Lytechinus pictus: one gene and its partners. The protein of the gene in region 3 interacts with the protein of the main gene of each other region in a pairwise test. Links are inferred from orthologs where the notes say so. Each region holds a gene or a part of one and is shown on either strand. Other genes may lie near its edges. The genes, in order: rap1 GTPase-activating protein 1-like, G-protein-signaling modulator 2-like and guanine nucleotide-binding protein G(i) subunit alpha.

Region 1 (7,679 bases), on a different chromosome or scaffold from region 3:
ATAAAACCTATCCTCCAATTAGCCGCCTAAGAGTAATGCGGATAATTCAATAAAAATTGCGTTCACAAACTCCGAAAATTATCCGCATTATTTTTACGAGCGCCCGTCCTGCAAAAGGCGGATAATCGTCATGACAACTGGACATGCCCCCTCCGATGCGGTTGTGTTGGAAAAGGGTGACCTTGTGACCGCACCATGGCAATTATCCGCATTATTTGGAAATACGTTCATAAACTCAAAATCTTGTCCCGATGCCGCTATTATGCGGACAATAGCAGCATCAGAATAATGCGGATAACTCTTGTCCTCCTCTGATTTTACGACCAAATTATGCTGCTATTAGCCGCATAATTGGGTTTTATTGGGTTTATGAAAGGGGTATAAGTAGCATATTGGACATGGAAATGGTCTGCATTGTAGACCCATGGCATGATAGGACCATGGAACTAGGCTTAATTCTACAAAAGGCGGTTTCAAACCACCTCGATCACAAGAATCTCCGATACATTACGAGAACATTTTTAGGCTAAAAAATACCCATTAATTATTCCTGCATTCACACCGCCCCGAAACATACCCTTCGGGATAAATTCCTGAAGTTAGGAGCATGCGCAGTATGGTCTAATAAGCAGGCAAGGCGCGAGATTCAAAACCACTAGCCCAGCAGCCACCCACGGCGCCCGCGCCCAACGACACGCTGGGCTAAAAGTTCCCGTAAATTGCTTTCACATTGCCAAAATACCTGCGACCTTGGAAAAATCCCCGCGAAAGTTCTCGTAATTTCGCCAAGTACCTACTATTTAGCGGGTATTTTCTTTCGGGGAAATTACGCGTAGTTTGCTTTCACATTACCAAAATACCTGGTATTTTCTGATCGGAGTGAATTTCCCCGATCAGAGAATACCTGGAACTGACGAACTTCGAGGCGGTCTGAAACCACCTATTCTCTTTCCTTGTGGGACCAAATAACTTTGAGTAATATCTAATGTTTGTCTGGGTTAGGGCTTAGACTAGAGCCAGGTTATCTTCATCAGATAGTGTGTGCTTTATTATGGAGTCTGGATGGTGAATGTTTTTTATTATGTGATGTTACAGATGATTCTGGCCAATTGTTAATTGGACTTTTTACATCTCTTTGTCCTTGAGATGATGGAAGCCTACCACCCCCCTCTTGTTCTCTCTCTCTCTCTCTCTGTGACTCCCTCCCCTCTTTTTCTTCCCACTCTGTCTATCTTTCTCTTTCTTCCCCCATTCTCTCTCATTCTCTTCCTTTCTATCTCCCCTTCTGTCCGTCTCCCCCCTCCTCTCTCTTTCATCATCACTTCCTAAGAACACAGCCTGTTTCCTGTTTGACAGCAGGTTCATTGTTGAGTTACATAACTTTCAAATAACAACCATTTTCCATGCCCGAAGATTTTCTTTTTACGATGGGGAAGCCAGAATGAAGCATCATAATGAAGATACCTGACTTCCCTGTAACTTATGTCTACCATATCAAGGGGCTTCCAAAAAAGGAGCAATAGTCGCTTTCATTGGATTATGCAATGAGACAGGTGCATTGTTATGTCATTCCAAAAATAAAAAAACATAAAAAAGTCATCCTAACTCGACCCATTCTATAATATCTCCCTTGCTTTCCTGAAGGTAAAAGCCTGGTTGCCTGACGTGTATTTTATAATCTGGCAGCATACATAGACCTAGTATTAGTTTGTATTAACTTCTTGACTGTTGAATTTTATTAACTAGGCCTATATAGTACATTCAGTGGCTTCTCAAAACCCAAGACTGAGTCTGCAGGCAGAGACTATAGGCATTATTTTGCAATTTAGCTTCAGGACATGATTTCCATTCCTGTCTTGTAGTCTGAAAGTTCAGACCTTTATGTTGTGTTTCAACAAATGGGGGGTTTGGGGATGCAAGAAAGTTGTGTCCGAGTACATAACCCTTCTGGGAGGTTACTGTGCAGATGGACCTTTAAAATCAGTAATGCAATACTATTGTATTATAGGGAAAATGGGGATATATCAGAATATTTTGCCCCTTTTTTTCATTGGCTGGCTTTTTTGGGGGAGGGGGATGGTGACATGGGATGACTAATGATGCAATGTACTCATATTATTACCTTCTGTGTAAATAACCATTTGAAATCATCAGCCATGATGGTTCCAGGGAAGAGGGAGTTAGTCAGACTTCATTGATAAGTTTGTTTTTAGTTAGATAACGTTGGGACCGTCTCTTGAAAATTAGCATTTTTAAGTAGACCTCCAGACGTTGTGGCGTTGGTATGAGTCAAGAGCGGATTAGAGCCAACATTCCTTTCTTCATTGAATGGTTTATGGAAACATGTGCTTGAAAGTAAATGAATGCTGGTGATGATTGGATGATGTCCTTAATTTTTTTTTTCGGTATGAAATACGAAACATGTCACTTTTGTGTAGGCCTAACTCTCCCCCAAGAAGGGGAGGTGGTGCACATCAAGTTTCATTGCAGATTATGTGAAAAGAGAAAATCCCTTTCTTACCATGTTGTTTTTCATTATCTGCAATTGTATCTGCAATTGTGATTGCACCAAATGCTAATATGCTTTTCACACTGCACTTTTTTCCTTAACTCAGGGAAATTGGTGGGGCTAACGGGGGTCTTAGCCCCACCAATATCCTGGGGTTAAGCTTAGCCCGATTCGGTTTCACTGCGTTTTAGCGAAGTGGGCTAGCACGGTAAATTGTACGGTATTATCTGGCCCTGCTAAAAAGCAGGGTAAGCCGGCTTATTGCGGTGCTAAGAGATGCAGTGTAAAACGAAACCGGACTAAGGAAAAGTGGGCTAAGCATTAGCCTATTGCAGAAGTCGAAATTGCATGTTAATCATGCTCATTATCGATCACAAGAATCCCCGTTAAATTACGAGAAAATTTTTAGGCTAAAAATACCCATTAATTATTCCTGCATTTACACCGCCCCGAAACATACCCTTCGCGATAAATTCCTGAAGTTAGGAGCATGCGCAGTATGGTCTAATAAGCAGGCAAGGCGCGAGATTCAAAATCACTAGCCCAGCAGCCACCCACGGCGCCCGCGCCCAACGACACGCTGGGCTAAAAGTTCCCGTAAATTGCTTTTACATTGCCAAAATACCTGCAACCTTGGAAAAATCCCCGCGAAAGTTCTCGTAATTTCGCCAAATACCTACTATTTAGCGGGTATTTTCTTTCGGGGAAATTACGCATAGTTTGCTTTCACATTACCAAAATACCTGGTATTTTCTGATCGGGGTAAATTTCCCGATCAGAGAATACCTGGAACTGACGAACTTCGAGGCGGTCTGAAACCACCTTGTGTGGCCAAATCATCAATATTCATGCGCTGTGCTATAGTCCAGGGTTAAGGCGTTACCCACGGCTTAGCAAATAGTATGGGGTTCAGAAAGACAGTGTGAAACAACAAAAAATAGAATGGGGTTAAGGAAATGCAGTGTGAACAGCATATAAGTGTTTGGAGCATCATAATCATCACATCTGTCTGGAATTAAAGTACTGGCCTGGAAAATACCAGACTAGCATGCTGCCTGTTTGGCTCAAGACCTGACGCCAGCCAGCTTTTCAAAAGACCAGTCAACTAGTGTTTTTTTTTTACTTTACCACTCATTATCCATAGCCTATGAATAAAAGATTGATAAGCAACCTATTTACACTAGGAAAAAGATCAAAGAAAAAATGTAAGAAGTGTATACCACAAACAATGTCTTGAGAAAGAGATAAGAATGGTATGCACTGCACTATCAAGTTCATTAGTCTCATTAAGAAAACATATGCTGGTAGTGGCATAGCAGTATTATTTTGTAATTCGATAAATTTCATTGTGTGAATGGGTGCAGTATTGAGAAGCTTGACCCGCTCCTTGGTGAACCATTCTCAAGATGTTTCAGATTTCTCGGTTTTACTCATGTGCAAGTAATCATCATTCAAGAACAAAACCTAATGAAGTTTTTTTTGTTTACATCCTGACTCTGTTGGTCAATAGAGTGCAATCTTATCCATGCTTTGTTGGGGGTTTTTTTCCAACAAGATTCCTGAAGTCAGGCATTTTGTTTTTTTATTTCTCTCAACGAATGTCTTTGTTTTGTTGCCTGTCTCCTACATTGTGAAATGCCTTTAATCCAATTGCATAATATTTATTGAAGGCATATGTACCTGTTATTCATTATCCATGCCTCAATGTACCTGATAATTTATTCTGCATGTTCATATCTGCCATAACCAGATCAATTTCCTGTAATAATGAACCAGCAACAATGGTATTGAAAAATGCAAATTTTCTTCTGCCTCCCATTGTATTTGTAGGCCCGACTTCTTATCACAAACATTCTTGCAACTTTTGAAGGTATATGTAATTCAATCTTGTATTAAACTATGTCACAATATGCTTTGCGGTTTGTATTCCGTTATCATTTTACTTATAAAAAAACGTCAAAATTTTCATTGACTCACTCTCGACATTAGATTGTATTTTGCATAAAATGCTGATATCAAACGTAATTGTATAATTTTCATTTTCATTTTATTTTTCAGAAAAACGATGCAGAATTAGATTTCTTTGAGTTCCTCGAAAAGATACAGGTAAGAAATTCTTATTTTCTGTCATTCTTTTTTTTTCTTCTTTTTTACCCCTTCCTCTCTCACTCTGTTCCTATTCCCAATCTCTCAGCATTGCATGTACTGTATGTGCTTCATAAATCCACCAATGTTCAACATGATGTCAACACAATAGCAGGTGCCATGCTACTAACTTGTCAAAATAATCCTCTTAAAATAAGAAGTCATTGGTTTTTAGGCGCAGACAAGCTAGCTCTCAAACATCAGTCAGTATACACTCCAAAGGCTTATCATGTTTACAAGTAATTTCATCCTGACAGAAACAATTGAACTAAATGTTCAAAAATCTTTATTAAAAAAAAATTCAAAGGTTTAAAAACATCTGTTCATATTAGTGAAAGTATGTTATGTATCCTTTGTTAGAAATAACAATAATTCTCAACATTTCAAGCTCATGTTAATACGAGTGTATTTTTCGCATTAAGGCTAAATTAAAGTCAAATATAATAAATATAACAGAGCATTCCAGTTCTTTATAATGGTATTCAACCCCTTGAAAATGATAAAATGTCAAATTGTAAGTATTAATTTTTCGATTTGTTTTGTTTTTGTTTAAAAAAAATAAAGATTGGTATTGAATTCCAGCATATTTCACTCCTCCATTCAAGATAATGCTTTGAGAAGTAAAGACGTTATTGGCAATGTAATGTTTTCATGCGAAATATTTTGATATAATAGATTTAACTGAGATCAACTAGTTGTAATTCCTATAAAATTCTATCACAAATATTTCCAGAAAATGTTTTGATGATGTTTGCTATGTTATTCTGTTATATCCTTGAGTGTATACATCATGGGCCTGATTAGACCTCAAGCCAATTTATAAAATTGAGTCTCAAGCATTCAACAGCTGACCATTAAAACCCTTTATCCTCTTCATTACTCAACTCACAATGAAAGATGGAATTATTGTTGCCTGGAGGTGATCGCACCAAATTACATGGTAATGAATTTCAGCAGACCAGAACTAATTAATCAATTTGCCAAGTTGTCTTTCAGCGGAGGCGATACAAATTTGCACTGTGAATCACGCGGGACCCAACCCTTCAGGGGGAACCGAAATCAAATTAAATCATCTAAATCAATTTTTAGAAAAGTAAGGATGTTATGATCACCCTGGGCGTATTATTTGTCCGCTAGGTCAGTCTGGTTGCTTGCCCCTCACCTCTCTTGATCTTTCACTTTCTTACTTTATTTTGATATTTTTCGCCCTCTTCCATTTTTCTTGTTTTTCCTATCACCAGCAGTTCTTTTCAATTTTTCTTGCTATTTATTTACTCTACTTTCACTTTATTTTGCTCCCGTGCTGTTTAAAAATAGTTCTTTTAAAAACGAATACTCATTCTACCTTTACCTTACTTTTCTCATGTTGTATCAAGTCTGCCAATACATTTTCTTTTGAATAGTTACATTTTCTTTTGAATAGTTACATTATAGTTTCTTACTCTACTTTCCTCCCATATCTCATACAAGCTCAGCTCCAATTTTTCCTTCCTTATTCAGGCGATATAATAATTATTATATATATATATATATATATATATAAATGTGTGAAGTTATACATGTATATATATATATATGTTCCAGAACCTGTTTGATGTTGCCTGCCTCATTATTTTAATCCCTCTTGGCTTGAGGTCTTTTACTGGCCTTACTTACACTAACTTCCCTTTGTGTCTGCCTACTCCTTTTCTTTCATCCCCTTCACTAACCTGATTGGTCTTCTCTACTCACTAATGCCCCTTTTGTCTCCTTGTTTCTAGTGTTGCTGTAGCTTGTTTGTGGTCTATATTATGGTTGTTCCACTTTATATGTTTGTCATTTTGCCTCCGACGAAGATTCTGCTAGGATCGAAAGCTTAGGCCCCTTTTTGACTTTCTAATACATTTTCTTATAACGATTCAGTCACCACTCTCAATGAAGAATCAGATTTGATAAAAACAGAGACTATCGCTGTTGAGAAAGTTCATCCGTGATTATTTTTGTCTTATTCACCATCCCTGTTTCAGTCATTCTATAGTTTCTTGTAAACCACTGATGTGTGTTAGCAGCTATAAATAGAGTGCTTATTCCCTCACATTTCGCCTGGTGATATTTGGACAATAAATTTTCTGGAAGACTCTGGAGACGTTGAAAGAGAAATTTCACCTCTTGTCGTTTGAATGCAATTATTGAACGGTTGCTATTGGCAACAGTGGAGAATAGCGCACAATTTGGACCAATTTCGTGGGTGTTATTTATTGTGTCATGTTTAGTATTAATCTTAATTTTTCCATGTACACCTCTATTTCTCTATCCCCCCCTCTCCCTCTCTCTGAACTTAAATTTCATTTCGTCTTGTGGTTTCATTTTTCATATTATCAACCTGTCAAATCCTTTCTAATTTTCTCTTTCATTGATAAGATACCAGTTATTAATCAATGTTGTGCTATGATGTACATATATTATTTAGAGTTTAGTAGAATCTTGAAAAGGAAGTACTGCCTGAAACGGTGTGTTACAAGGTGTTCCACAAAAAATGGAACATTGTTTTGAGGATTACTAGTTATTGGCTTTCAAAATGTTTCAATTCTATTTGCTTCATCGGTTAAAGCCTCTTGTATCAGAGCAAGGGAAATCCAGAGCATTTAATTTGGTGAAGTAGAAAACAAAATTATTAATATTCTGAGGCAATTGAATTTGGAACAACTTTTCCTTTTTTTGGACACCTTATACTGATGCATGCTTGAGCACGACATAATGCAGCATGACCTGAATGTATGATGTAGGTCTTGTATGTCACTGATTGTATCATCTACACTCAATCTCTCTAATCTTTCGTGCTACTAATAGTCAGACTGGTGAAACCAACCCCTCCAGACCGACCAAACCTATTACATTATTACCAATGACATACCAATGCTTGGTTTGGGGTCGGTTTCATTGGTGTGTCTGTAGCGTTAGATATTAACCTACTCATCATCGCCTGTCTCTGCTTTCACAAACCCACACTTGACATCTTGTTCATATTGATGAGTAAATAATCAAA
Region 2 (7,910 bases), on a different chromosome or scaffold from region 3:
TTTTCTTCAGTCTTCCGAGACGGTATTCATGAGCAGTCCTCTTCTTCACAATTGCTCTGCAAAAAAAAAGGTAAGGGAAACATGGGTTACAAAAAAAAGATTAAGATCTTCATTTTTGTGTGATACTGATAACATTTTTTTTGCTTGTCCAGATGTCTAATTCATTTTGGTCGAAATAACCTTACATTTGGGATCTTTTTCTTTTTTTTGCTTGGCTTGCCTTGTCAAATTTTCCAGCCCCTGATCCCCCCTACATTTGGGGAGAGATTTCAACCCTTGGAAATATCACACATTATCCCGCAACCAAATTCTGGGCGGCGTGTCCGAATACTGGGCGGAAAACATCTCCTTCTACATCATGTTCTATCAAAATAAATGTACTATCAGTATCACCACGATCACCAGCAATTTTGTTAAACATGATTATTCAATATATGAGTTCGATAATCTGAAACTGAAAGAGGACATTTTTTTCTTTCTCCTGTCCTGGTTGGTGGATTTACAAATAATAAGGTAGGTATTTATTTTACTAGCAATTTCCCCTCAAGTGTCCGAATACCGGGCGCGTTACCCTACCGACCGTCTGTCCCTAGTTTTGTTTTTTTTTAGCGTGCGCGTGGTGGCTGGCGATGGGCCGGTCGCCCGGTCGGGCTGCGGGCCCGCTGCAGCTGCGGGGATGAGGGTTTCGAATTCGAGCTTCCGTTGGGCCTAGGCCTACTTACTTAATTTCAGATTTTGTAAAGAGTCCTACGCGTTCAAGCTGCTCTAACTCCGCTAGTGTTTCTTCGATATTTTGATGAACGAATTCCGCCATTATTGCTTCTCAAAAACTCAAATGTCAGCACAGTGAATGAAGTTTAAGATTTAAATTACGTGGTGTCTGTGGTACATGCCGTTGCGACGCCACGTGGTATAACTTGTGCATGCACTTTGAAGAATCGTCTAGAAATCTAAAATCAGCTCGTCCTAAAGGCCCATTGAAAGGGGGAAAAGATCGGTATTAAATATTCCGGTGATCGAGTGTTTTCATTGACTGATTTTATTTGGCATCTCTTCATCCGGTGTCACCATATACTAGTACATTAGCATTAGAAACAATAGACTTGCACATGACAACCCACGAAAGTTTGAAAGCCTATTTCCAGAAGAATGTAAAGAAGAAAAAGAATTGAATAGGAAGAGACTAAAATGAGGAGAAGAAGGAGGCGGAGCTAGAGAAGAAGATTCGAAGAGAGGCTAAAGAAGAAGAAGAAGAAGACGACGAAAAGAGGAAGAAGAACGAAGATGACCAAGAAGAAGGAGGAGGAGAAGAAGAAATAGTAAAAGAAGAAGCCAAAAACTACTGGAAACTTAAAAAAAATATTAGATCTAGAGGTCAGGGGCGTCGATCCGATTGGGGGGGGGGCAAAATCATGAATCAACGTTCCAAAGAAGCTCGATCACACAAAACGAACAAACTCACCCACACACACACATAGGCCTATATTATATATATATGCATATGTATATATATATATATATAGGTATCTAAAAGAACAATAGATGCGAGCGCGAAGCGCGAGCTGAAAATTTTGATATTTCGATCTGAAAAAAATGACAGTTTAATGGACGTTTTTAATAAAGAACAAGATATATATCCAACAAAAGATTATTGCAAATCCAAGCAGGAGTTCTTTTGAGGTTTAGAACTGAAAACAGGACATTCTATTCACTTATTTAATCGTGAAAAGTATGGGTTTTTGCTACAAAAATGATGCGAGCGCGAAGCGCGAGCTGAAATTTTTTATATTCCAATCTTAAAAGCGGACATTTTAAGCACGATTTTAGATAAAGAACGAGTTATTATATTTCAATCTCGCTTGCTGATTTCTGTGTTACATTACAATCTTATTTTATTTTTGCACATGTGGAATTATTGGGGGGGGGGCAAAACGATATGTTTGCCCCCCCCCCCCAATATTTTCATTGGTGGGGCGATCGCCCCTCCCCCTGCCCCCCAGGATCGACGCCTCTGTTAGAGGTCAAGTGCACCCCGGCCGTGAAAAATGTTGATTTGTACGAATAGAGAAAAATCTAACAAGCATTATGCTGAAAAATTCATCAAAATCAAATGTAACTAAAGTTATGACATTTTAAAGTTTTGCTTATTTTTCACAAAACAATGATATGCACAACTCAGTGACATGCAAATATCTCATTATGTCTAAAACCAACATTTGGCATTTCGTTTTGGGAAAGTTTATTTCATCCAAAGTGTGAAAAAAAAATTGCCCCGATTCTAAAGGATTTTATTCCTACAATTTTTTTTTTATTCTGGGCTATATATAATAGTGGGAAAAGTTAACTTTTTGCTTCCCAGCAAACTCAGTGAACCCTGACTCTTATTATCAACCATAAGCTATAACTGGGCAGAGGCTATACTTTTTTAAATCAAGTTCTTTCTCCATTATACCGTTTCCCTTCTTGATCCTCTTTATCTCTCTTTTCTCTTCTTTTTTTCCTTTTCCTTCTCTTCCTCTCTGAGTTTCGCTATCTCGTCTTATAGTCTTCCTTGGTGAATCATTTTTTAAAGAATGTCGTCAACCTGACGTCAACCGCTTCTCATTTCGTTTTTTCCTTCACTGTAAAAAATATTGGGTACAATTTTAACCAGCACGAGGGTAATTATGTGTCCAACCATTTACCGAATGCGGGAAGCATATACGTTAAAAAATAAGCAGCAATTACTTTAGAATGGGCAGTAGAAAATGATTAAACTTCTCGATTGGACGATTATAAAAAAGATATGCAGTTAAAGGTTGGGGATCGAGTAGACGTATGGCTAATAAATTGAAATAAAAAAAACAAAGCTCTATTATAATGACATAAAGACACTTTTCCGTCAATAGTAGGAGAAATAATTTTGATTGCTTTGTAAAAAGAATATGTCAAGGTATATTTACTATTCTAAATAAGAAATCGGTGAGAAAGAGACTCGAAATTTTACAAAATATTCGTGTTAAAAGCATTGTCCTTTATTACTAATAACAGGAGCAATAAATTTGATTGATTTGTAAATAGATTGTCAATGCCTATCTGCTACTTAAAAAAAAAACATAATTCGGATGCCGAAAGACGAGACTCGAATTTTTTAACAAAATTTGACGGAGTTAAAAGCGTTGTCTTTTAATGCTAATTTTAGGAGCAATAAGCTTGATTGATTTGTAAATAAATTAATGTCAAGGTCGATCTACTACAAGACTCGAAGTTTACAAAATTCGAGTAAAGTACTGTTATATTAATGTCATTTCCTTATATTTCATTAAATGATTTTAGGGGCATCAGAGTAAAAGTGATTTACGTGCGTGACAGAAAGATTTCGCAAATACGTGATAAAAGAGTGGCTGAAAAGTAATTTATCTATTTTATTTATTCATGTTGTATTTAACAAAATTCGATAAAAATTACAGTGGAGGGTAGTCCGGTTCAGTTATAAAACTGTTTTACAACGGAGCCCTCCACGAATAAAAAGAAACATAAACATGATACTAATCAAAAGCAGAACACATACATAGTAAATGAATAAATAACAGAAAATGAATATCATGAAATAGATAACATAACACAAATCATAATTTGAATAAATATTGAAAACATAAACAAAAACACAAAATAAAATATAAACAAAAACCGTGATTAAGTGTGGCTACACGTGGTATACCCCCCTCCCTCCCAAACTAGGCCAGGTTGTGAAAGTTTTTTGAAGTTATTTAGGGATTAGAGGTTTGTACGGACAATGGTAATTTATTGAAAATAGAATTTGCAGTGAATGAGAATGATCTTTTTTTGTATTCAGATTTAGGGTACGTATGGTATATTTGTAGACGATTTTGGGCAGAATGTCTATAAACAATGGGTCGTATAACAGATAATGGTTTCAAGTATTTTGGTGCAGAATCATTCCAAATTTTGTAAATTAGAATACATTGTTGGTATTTAATCCTCTGTTCAACGGATTGCCAGTTGAGTGTAGTTAAGCGAGTCTTTGATAACTAATTCCAATGTAATTTTGGAAACTCGGGGCATGAATTTCAGCAAAAAAACACTACTACTACTACTACTACTACTACTACTACTACTACTACTACTACTACTACTACTATACTACTACTACTACTATACTATGACTACTACTACTACTACTACTACTACTACTACTACTACTACTACTACTACTACTACTACTACAACAACAACAACTACTACTACTACTACTACTACTACTACTACTACTATACTACTACTACTATACTCCTACTACTACTACATACTACTACTACTACTACTACTATACAATACTATATACCACTACTACTACTACTATACTACTACCACCACTACTACCACTACTACTACTAGTAGTAGTACTACTATTACTACTACTACTACTACTACTACTACTACTACTACTACTACTACTACTACTACTACTACTACTACTACTACTACTACTACTACTACTACTACTACTACTACTACTACTAATACTAATACTACTATACTACCACTACTACTATTACTTTTACTATGCCTATGTAGAACTACTGATACATGTAGAATAGAGTTGTCCCGACCCCTACTTATACTCAAACTTTCTAACAAATACCTGTTTCATCCGTTGTGATTACTATATGATCAGGGTTATTGTAATTATAGGGAATTATACGGTAGTTATAATTTTGTGTTTGGCACTCCACCTGCATTGTTCTATCTAATATTGTTTGTGGTATAGCGCCATCAAGTGGTTATTACTCGATCTATTTCGTACACAAGATACAGTAGAGGGAAGCTACGGTAGATAGCGTTTTGCTTTTATATGGGCGGACAAATTTTTCAACGGCTTTTTCATCGACGTACCTCGCCGCCGATACGGTCCCATCATCCGTGCGCGATCCGTGATCGAGATCGACCAGTGGCAGCGCAGCGCCTGGGAACATCTGAACATAAAAGCCTGAAATTCGAAAGCTGTAACTTAAGTTGAATCGGACATTGTTCCGTGCTGAAGTCTGTGAATCTTCGACAGTTTCAAGATCAGATCATCGATCAGAGTTTCCGTTCATCTCCGACTCCGAGAGACCATCCTCGACTGAATCGCAAGTCTTCTCATTTCCAAAAAAAGGCCAGGCACTGCACAACACAGTCACACAAGGATTAGGGGCCGGCAATCAATCACTGTCACTGTGTCAGTCAGAATGGATATCTTCAGTCTAGTAAGTTTTTATTAATTTTTTAAAAACTCTATTTAATAAAAAAGAGTAGGCCGGCCTAGGAGTAGGACTAACGTGTTACTGTTAGACAATCTAACGCAATCTCTGAAAGAGTTCCCCACCAAAAATAACAAAAGATTAATAAGACTTTACCGTAATATACTAGTAATAGTTCCGGTTCGTTCATTTTTCTATCATTTTTTAAATTTTATGATAGCGGTCCCCAAGTCTGTGCACCTAATGATTTGAGTTGAGATTTTATTTAACATGAATTTCTTTTCATTTCATAAAACCTTTCAGTTGATTGATACGAGTTAGTGTGCCAAATATCTCCTAAAAATTTAAATTAAAAGAAACATAAGGCGTATGATTTTCTTGGAAAAAACCTCATTTTCAGATTGAACAAAAAAATGGTGCCCCAGGGCCCATGTCTGCTCACCCATTCACTTTGCACGCGATCAGGGGATTTTGATGAAAAAGTCTCCATTTTGAGGCCGTCACAAGAAATACCCAAATTTCATTATTTTTCCACCATTTTGAATCGGATTTGTGTATGTATTGCATGTGGAAAGTTTATGTTCATTGCGTACCGGTACCTTCCTCTTTTAGTAGAATAGCGCAGATACGCGTGTGTGCAGACAAGGGAGACTGCGCAGACTTAGGGGAACTTGCCATCTCTTGCTTACCTTAGTTGGGACTCGAACTCGCCTCGTTTTATCTGCAGTCAAGATCTCTTCCCGCTATGCTAGCGAGAAGCGCTGATACCAGAAGGGGTATTTTAACGATTATCAGCCAATTGTTTGACTAGTCTAGACTCACAGACCCAGGGTGCTACATAACTTTTTTGAAGCACTTGCCCAGTCGGGCAAGTAAATTTTCAAATAGTTGGAAAATACTTGCCCGAATATAGATTTCACTTGCCCGAAAAAATCCTTCAAAACAAAGTTTTATTGCTTCAAAACAAGTTATAGCCTTATAGTTTTACATACCATACCATTGACGGCTTTAAAAATACATTTTTCAATATGACTACTGATGTACCTTGTAGTTGTATTTCTTTTTTATCTTGAACATCATGACAAAATAAATGGTAAATATGCTCTTTAATTAATTTCCTAATGTCATATATTTTCCATATATTTTGGAGGGGACTAGGACACACAATAAAAAAAGGGGAAATCACTGAAAATAACCAGAGAAAAAAAATTAAGAGAGGGGGAGAGAATGAAAGAAAAAAAGTAAGAAGAAAGACAGAAAGGACGAAGAAATAAAGGAAGAAAGAAAAAAAAGGAAAAAAAAAGAAATAAAGAGAGAAAGAATGGCTGCGGGGAAGAGAAAGATGGAAAGATAGAAAGAAAGGAAGAAAGAAGGGAAAGGAGGATGGAAAGAAAAAAGAAAGAAAGAAAAAAAGTAGAAAAAAAATGAGAGGAAGAGAAAGGAAGGAAAGAAAGGAATGAATAAAAGGAAAACAAGAAAGAAAAAAGGTAAACAGAAAGGAAGGAAAAGGGAAAGAACGAAAACGAGAGAAAGGAAAGAAGGAAGAAAGAAAAGGTATAAGGATAGATGGAAGGAAGGAAAAAAAAGAAAAGAAAGATACAACGAAAGACAGAAAGAAATGAAGGAAGGAATGAAGGAAAGAGATGAAGGAAGGCAGAAAGAAAAAATAAGGAAGAAAAGAAAGGATGGATGGAAAAAAAAAGAAAGATCAAAAGAACAAAAAAAAATAAAATCAGAAAGAAAGAAGGAAAGAAAGGAAGAAAGGAAGAAGGAAAGAAAGAAAAAAAATAGAAAAAACTTGAGGGGAAGAGAAAGGAAGGAAAGAAAGGAACGAATAAAAAAAGAAAAAGAAAGAAAAAAGGTAGAAAGGAAGAAAGAAAAGAGAAAAAGAAAAGGTAAAGGATTGATGGAAGGAAGGAAAAGAGAAAGAAAGAAAATGAGAGAAATGAAAGAAGGAAGATAGGAAGAAAGAAAAGGTATAGGGCCTATAGGATAGATGGAAGAAAGGGAAAAAAAAAAGAAAAGAAAGATACAACGAAAGACAGAAAGAAATGAAGGAAGGAATGAAGGAAAGAGATGAAGGAAGATAGGAAGAAAGAAAAGGTATATAGGATAGATGGAAGGAAGGAAAAAAGAAAGATCAAAAGAACGAAAGACAGAAATAAAGAAAAACAGAAAGAAAGAAAGAAAGGAAGGAAGGAGAAAGAAAGAAAGGAAGGAAGGAGAAAGAAAGAATGAAAGACAGAAAGGAAGGAATGAAGGAAAGAAAGAAAAGAAAGAATGAAAGGGATGAAGAAAATAAGGAAGAAAAAAAGACGGGAAGAAAAGGTAAAGAATGGATGGACGGAAGGAAGAGAGTAAGAAAGAATGAAAGGAAGGGGAAAAAGAAGGAAGGATTAAAGAAAGAGGTAAACAAAGGTTGGATTGAAGGAAAAAATGAAAAAAGATAGAAAGAAAAGAATGACAGCTATAGTAACAGAAAAAATGAACAAAAGGAAGGAAATTTAAAAAAAGAGATTATAAAGAAGGAAAGATAGGCAGAAAGAAAGAAAATAGAGAGGAAGAAAGCTCAAACTATCCAGTCATAAATAAATAAGAAAATTTATCAATTTCCTTGGCTAAAAAAATAGTTACGAAAGAAACCATGTTTATCAACATACACACAAA
Region 3 (7,750 bases):
CCCATTGATCTTGCATTCAAAGTAGAAATGCAACAAAACCTTCATAAGAGTGTTCATTGATGTGCTATTCTAGTCAAGTGGTCTATGCAATTTCTGCATCCTGCTATGAACAGAAAGGCGTGCTTGAATAGTATCTTTTGCTTTGAAATCTGCCTATCATAATGAAAGAAATGAAAGGTCATTTGACCAAAATTGCCCATGAGGTAACTCCAAACTGGTCGAGTTGCAAGCCGGAGTTTTCAGTAAAGATATCAGGAATAGGAAATTTTCAAGTGCAACAGTGACTGATTCCGCAACGTGGTACATCTGTTGAAAAGGCAAGTCAAATCGAAATGGACACCTGAGAGATATTTGTCGAAAGTCGGTGAATGGACAGGGACAGCATTATTGTCCCATGCTTAATTCGGACCGGACGAAAATTTGAAAATTATGTTGTTTGTCCAGAGTTCAGAACGATGGATACTAGAGTTTTAATTCACTTAATAGTTTCGACAAAGACTTCTTTGTCATGGATGTCTTTTGACAATAGATTTTCTACGTTCCAATAGTTTACCCAGCACACCCGATGGATCGTGGACGGACTGACGCATATAACCATGATCCGATTCCGTCAACTAGTGTACATTGAAGGTTATAATTGCATCATCCTCCTTCTTCACACACGGATCAAGAGGGGACCAATGGCAACCCTACCGCCACACGTTCCTCAAATTGTATATACATGTGTGTTATGTACTTGTATTTCTGTTTTGAACAGCTAGAATATTGGCAGATGCCAGTGAGTGTTCCAATAAATTCAATTTATATAGATACAATTCATAATGATTATGCTCCTATTCCGATCTCGTGTTGAAACAAATTCAGGGAGTTTCTAACTCCCTGATGATGAACTCTAAAGTTGTTGGTTTTTAATTGGTTAGTCAGTTGGGAAATAAAAAAAAAGGGTTCGGTTTAGTCCCGTAGAAGTTTGTTCATCCTACATAATATAACTTGCATCAGTTTTCTTTGCGGCATATAGCACAATGAACACAAGAAACATATAATTTCACAAATTTTTTACATTTTCGACGTCCTTTAATTTTGGCAGAATTAGACCATGGACGTTAAACCCGCTTTAAAGTTGCTCCATTCAGTGCTTTCACATTTTTCCTCTACTACCCGAAGGAGAACAAGAAGCGGGACAAGAAGAAAAAGGAGAGGAAGAGGAGGAATGAAGAAGAAGAAAAAGAGGAAGAAGCAAAAGAAGGAGAAGAAAAATATGAAAAACAGCATATTTTGAAAGACAAAACCATTTTCTCGTAGAAGTGAACATGGCTGTACGCAGCGGAGGGGGGGGGGGGGGGGGTCTGTCCTCCCCCCAAAAAAATTAACTGAAAATTATCACAAAATTCACCAGACGTGTGAACGAATCCTTCAATTTAATTTAAGACAAATATACAAAGCGCTCCATTGACAAGCTCGATTGCTTCACTGCTTCACTTTCAAGTTTTATCGAAAAATTTTACGCGTTACCCCCGCCCCCCGAAAAAATTATGGGTATGGTAATGGAAGCTGAATAAATCACGACACTTAGTGCCGGCGCTGTTTCCAAGATTTGTTTGAAGGGGGTGCTGTTAGTCCACCCCCCCCCAAAAAAAAAAATGAAATACAAAATATATACACGTATATTGACAAGTGAAAACAGGTCGTCACAATATTAATAAACAGTGTTTAGTATGAAGACAAATTCGACAAGCATTTTCCAGCACCCCTCTCCCTCAATTGAACCCCGCCTGAATTTCAAATTGCCTTGCTATCCCTTACCAATGATCCTTATATACCAGCATGGACCTATTAGGTCCATGATACCAGTAATACCTTGGTCACATTTGTTCTACGGCGGCCGTACGGCGAGTCGAAAACAGCCGTTTCAACATTTTGTGTACCAACTACATATAGGTGGTTTGAATCAAAATTAATAAAACGGCTGTTTTCGACTCGCCGTACGGCCGCCGTAGATCAAATGTGACCAAGGTATTACTCAACAGGACCGTGAGTAAAATAATGGTAAGCAATTACATAGCGCCACCTATTGAGAATAATTTCTAGTCTTCCTTTGGAATCGGTGGATCCAGTGATAATCAAACAGTTTGTTCCCTTTGTGACTGACTGCTATATCATTCTCCTAGAATATGAAAGAGCTTAATTGTTGCTTGAACCAACACCATTCATGTGCGAGCGCAGCGAGCGAGAACATTAAATATGGCGTCTCTTAAAAAGAAGTTCAAGGGTTTTATTCAATTTGTGCTCTGAATAATTTATCATCATCTTCAATTATAGAAAATTGGTAAAGAATAATGCCTTTGGGTGTTTACCTGCTCGTCCGGGAGCCGGAAAGCAAGACATCCAAAAGGAGTCACAAATTATTAGCCAGATATTATTTGGTAGACTGAAAAAAGGACAATGCCGGTCGGAAACAGCAGGGGGGCATGGGTAGGGGTGCCTCCACGAGGGCAAGGGCGGAAATCTCACCCCAAAGGTAGGGGGGGGGACCAGGGGCTGGAAAATTTGACAAGCAAAAAAAAAAGGTTATCACCCCAAGTGTAAAGTCATTTCGACCAAAACACACGTTTTATTTCGATTTTGAATGATGTATTTTTTCCATCATAGAAGACCAAAAATAATAGGGGGACATTTGAAATTGTGTCCCCCTACTATTTTGGGTAGGGGGGACGCGACCATCTGTCCCCCTCTGATTTCCGCCCATGCATGAGGGTCAAGGGCCCCTTGCACCCTGTAGATAAATACACAATGTAAAAACAGGGAGAGACGAGAAAGTGAGGGGAGAAAAGGAAGGGGAAAGAGGAGAGAGAAAAGAGAAAGAGGTGTTCCCCCTCTTGTGAAATTGAAGACCTTTTTTTTTTTTTTTTTTTGCTTGTCAAATTTTTGTCGGGTACGAAATATCCCCCCCCCTTTTGGAAAATCCTGGATCCGCCCTTGGGTAGAGGGGACAAAAAGGTAAGGGGTGAGAAGCAAAATATGGAAAGAGTGAGGATAGAGGAACAAATGAGATGGAAAGGGAGAAGAAAAATAAACAAATGAAAATAGAGAGGGAGATAGAGAAGCAAAAGAATGGAAACGAAGAAAAGAAAACAGGGGGAAGTTAAAAACGGACAGCCCCTGTCCTTGTGTGTAGGTTGATATTTAGGGTATTCACGGACGTTTTATTATTTCATAGTCATATTTCCCCCCCCCCAAAAAAAAGGAAAAGAATTGTGCCCCCCTCTAACAACATCGACAAAAAAGAAAAAAAATTGGACAAGAATAATGTCTTTGATCGCCTCTTATGTGTAATTACCTGCTCGTTCGGGAGCCGGAAAGCAAGACATCCGAAAAGGAATGAAAAGAAAAAAGAAAGGAAAGGGAAATGAAGAGAGAGGGAGAGAGAGATAGAGGGGAGAGGGGGGGGGGGGCACCATGTCGATACGGCCTTAAATGCCCTACCCCCTGAATATTTGTTTTCTTTTCAAAGGAAAGGGAATACTGATCTATGCACTGAAAAATTATCATAGGCCCATAACATACAGAAATGAAAGGGACCAATGCTGGAATGGAAGCTGCCCTCTATTGGCGGTACACAGAATGGGTAAAGAGAAGAACAACAAGAATGGGAATGAAAATAGTAGGAAGAAAAAAAAATCATTATACATATATTCAGTTGTACTTGAATATATTGAGTATATATATATATATGGCCGAAATATATATGTATATATATATATGCCTACATCCTACGAAAGGGCGAAGTCAATGAATGGGTTTATTCTGTCATAATACACATATAGACGTAAAGACGAAGGTAGATGGCGTTAAGGCGCATTAAAAACAACGAAAGAAGACAAAAATAATTCGCCTTAAACACAGATGTATAGAAATATATATATATATATATATATATATATAGGCCTATATATATATTCCCCCTGGGGAACTTTGATTTAAGCTACGCCTACCATTGTTCTCTTCATCCATTTTTTTCACAATATATATATATATATATATATATATATATATAATGTTAAATGTGAAAAAAATTATACATGTACAATAGCTTTTGCAACTCTTGTATTTAAATATATTTGAAAAAAATGAATGAAAAGAACAATGGCTATAGATCTGTATAATTATATAGGCCTATACATAGGTTCAAACAAATAAAAATATTAAAACGACGTGGATAATATATATTTTTTTGCTACAGCTACTGTTGTGTGCAAATGGTTTATGTCCCTAATTTTCTAAAACCGAGGATAAACCTAGATATAGATCTAACAGTTAGGCTCCCACAGACCTAATTAACGTTAAAATGCGGATTAAAAGTTGCCAAAGCTTTCAATACAAAATGAATGTCATTTTGGTTATCTAAATATAATTTTTACATTTTTACACAATTCTTCCAGAATAGGCCTAACGTTTAAGTTACCAGGTGTGCTGCCTCAGGAGAATAATAAAGTATACACACTGGCACTGCACCCCCAAGGAATTTTTGGGGGGTGCTTTAGCACCCTTAGCACCCCCTGCTTCCCAGGGCCATGATCCGTGGGTCGAGGAACCAAATTTTTTTTTTATTAGGCCCAATCAAATTTTTATCCTTTCTGAAATTCTGGTGTATAATTTGTTATATCGCTTCGAATCCGGGACATTTCCCATAATGCCTTTCACAGAGATGTACGACGTTCGTATTGCGATCTGAGAGGTCGGCCGCGATAAAGCATCATGAGCGATTTTATGCGGGTACCGATTTTGCTTCGCCGTTGATCTTGTGTAGCAAAAGTGTGCCGGTGGTACGGTACGGTGTACGTGTATTGTGTGTACGCGCGACTCGACTGGGGTGTGGTGGTATACGGTGAATTTCTACGGAAGAAAGGCTTGCAGAACGGAATATCATTACTTTTGTGCGGAAAAATAACTTGTTTTGGACACTGCTGGACGGTGCAATTGTATCAGGATAACCAATTTTAAATGGAACTACCAAGGACTCTAGAGTTTGGAGAATAAAGAGGATATATCGACGGTTTGTAGACATTCAGACCGAGTGTCTGACCGGCTGTTCTTAACTTACTGGACTGTGCATAAACGTTATTTTATTATTCCAAAATGGGGTGCGCTACGAGCGCAGAAGATAAAGCGGCCGCTGAGCGGTCGAAAATGATTGACAGAAATCTACGGTTAGAAGGAGAAAAAGCAGCTAGAGAAGTAAAATTATTGCTCTTGGGTACGTATTGTGGATCACCATAGCCTACTGAAAAATGAAAATTTAATCACACAGGCAAATGATGTGTTAACATAAGTCATAACAACATGAAGTGTGAAGTGACAGAGCTGGATTTGTGCAGTGCCAGGCCAGTGGCAGTGCAGTAGCAGTGCAGTGGAGTGTGGAATCTTGTTCACTGCTGCTGCTGTATGAAGTCAAATGAATGATAATATCTGTAGAATAACAAAAAATATGATGAATGGATGAAAATTAAATTCTAAAACATGTTTTAACATTATTATCATGTTAGCTACTGGTACTTGCTTTTCACTTGATCCACCTTTTGTCTTGAGTCGTAACTATTGACCACTGACCACCTCTCTGACTCTGACTCTGAGCTGTGACTGTTCGCAAGTTGTTGCTTAGATATGTGTAAAAAATCCAGCTGCTACAAGATCAACTAAAGCAATTACGCAAAAAATTGTGTTGGTGCAAGAAAGCCCGTACTCCTTAGCGAAACATCGCCAACCACATCGGTGCAGAAATGGCATTTTTGTGCGGATGTGATGAACGAAAGTGTGGTGTTAGCGTTTTTGCACTGACATGAAATGCAGCGTTCCCACATGTCATACTCATAAACAAAATTTAATGTGCTCTTTTATATTTGGAATAACCAACAAAGAAAACAAACGCAGGAAAGTGATGTATTACTGATCACTTTCATAAATTCAATCATATCAAAAACAATGTTTTCTAAGAATTTGACAAAACTTCAAGTTCCACCAATCAGAATCACAAATACCCAAATATTAAAATGAAAATAAAGAAAACGGGCCAGCATCATGAAAACAAAGAACTCCAGATAGACTCACTCTCAATGGAAAGCAAAGCTCGAGAACAATGGTCTGTGAACAGATATGTGCTTTACATGTGTAAAGTCCATGCGCCTGCACTTTGTCGAATTAGGGTATTGTCTACATGTACATGTACATTGTACAGGGTGTACCTTGACTTTTCAAAGAGAGTGTGTGGAGCTGATGCGTCCAAGAAATAGGGCCCCGTCTTCCAAACCGAAGAACTTTTGTCTTTGAAATTGTAGGTTTTTGATAGCCTCTGGTGCTGGAGACAGTAGACATTTGAGGCAGGGCTCGACATAAGCAGTGGCCTGTTGGCCCGGGGCAACCAGAAATAAGAGTCGGGCTACCAAAAATTATGTTAAAACCCACACTTGGTGGCTTGATTGGGCTACCAAAGTCTTGATAAATTGTAATGTTGTCTATTGTTTTAGGGACACCAAATTTGCTTTGCTGGTCACCAAAAAATATGAAATTGATGATTTTGGTGGACTAATCGGGCCACCAAGTGTGGGTTTTAACAGAATTTTGGTGGCCTGACTCTCTTTTTTTGGTTGCCCCAGTCCCATTTTAACCAAGGATTGGTGTTTTGCTCACTGCAGCAAATCTACAAGACATTTGCATAGTTTCACGATTGTCATATTTGAACAAAAAATTCAGCCATTTGATTCTACATGTAATCTACATATATGTAGGATCTCTCTGAAGCTAACAAAGAAGAACAAGAACCGGTTTTAGAATGGAGGTAAAAAGGGAAGGAGAATTGGAAATGCTGCTCAATAAAAGTATGACCTCAAGGAAAAATCCAGCTTTTCTCCATGGTTCACTGCAAAGATAGCATGCTATTAAAGATACATGTAGTGACCCTAATTGAGGGTTATATGTACATACATGTAGCCCCCTGCTCTATCAACTGGTAGCTTTGAATTTAAAGGACAAGTCCACCCCACCAAAAAGTTGATTTGAATAAAAGGAGACAAATCTAACAAGCATAACGCTGAAAATTTCTTTAAAATCGGATGTAAAATAAGAAAGTTATGACATTTTAAAGTTTCGCTTAATTTCTCAAAATAGTTATATGCACATCATGGTCGGTATGCAAATGAGGGAACTGATGACATCACTCACTCACTTTTTCTTTTGTATTTTATTAGATGAAATATGAAATATTCTAATTTTCTCCTCATTGTCCTGGGAAACAAAGTTTTATTTCTCCCTGAACATGTGGAATTAAAAAGAAGGGCAACAAAATGTACATGTTTGTATGGTAACTTAAGGTCCCCTGGGTTTGCGCAGGGCCTGCGCATACATACATCTGTGCGATTCTAGCAAGAAGATACGCGACGACGGTTCTTACATGTGCAATACATAGAAAGATATTCATTTAAAAATCTGACTCGATCAAAATGGTGGAAAAACAATGATTTTCGGGCATTTCATGTGACGGCCTAAAAAATGCAGCCTTTTTTATAATAAAAATTCCTCAATTGTGTGTATACTGTAAAGTGAATGGGTGCGCAGACATGGGGCACCATTGTTTTTATCAATCTGAAAATGACTGGCTGAGGTTTTTATGAGAAAATCATATATATATTTCTCCCAAAATTTTTACGAGATTTTTGGCATGCATACTCATAAGAATACAAGGATCATTATCAACTGA

Evidence for each region.
Region 1: the proteins of guanine nucleotide-binding protein G(i) subunit alpha (region 3) and rap1 GTPase-activating protein 1-like interact in a two-hybrid assay, tested with the Caenorhabditis elegans proteins (2 studies listed by BioGRID). The link is inferred for Lytechinus pictus from reciprocal best matches to the Caenorhabditis elegans genes goa-1 and F53A10.2.
Region 2: the proteins of guanine nucleotide-binding protein G(i) subunit alpha (region 3) and G-protein-signaling modulator 2-like interact in a two-hybrid assay, tested with the Caenorhabditis elegans proteins (3 studies listed by BioGRID, with this or other methods). The link is inferred for Lytechinus pictus from reciprocal best matches to the Caenorhabditis elegans genes goa-1 and ags-3.

Annotation. Positions count from the first base shown.
Region 1 is NC_087258.1:27,520,482-27,528,160, forward strand, and holds the start of rap1 GTPase-activating protein 1-like, read left to right. Parts: upstream 1-4,571; 5' UTR 4,572-4,615; intron 4,616-7,679.
Region 2 is NC_087259.1:14,077,922-14,085,831, reverse strand, and holds the start of G-protein-signaling modulator 2-like, read left to right. Parts: upstream 1-4,803; 5' UTR 4,804-5,249; intron 5,250-7,910. Other genes in the region: U3 small nucleolar RNA-associated protein 6 homolog, read right to left, coding at 1-56, 723-814.
Region 3 is NC_087247.1:11,662,209-11,669,958, forward strand, and holds the start of guanine nucleotide-binding protein G(i) subunit alpha, read left to right. Parts: upstream 1-4,692; 5' UTR 4,693-5,136; coding exon 5,137-5,254; intron 5,255-7,750. UniProt on the Caenorhabditis elegans protein: Guanine nucleotide-binding proteins (G proteins) are involved as modulators or transducers in various transmembrane signaling systems. In the 1-cell embryo, probably together with gpa-16, controls nuclear rotation and spindle elongation during mitosis.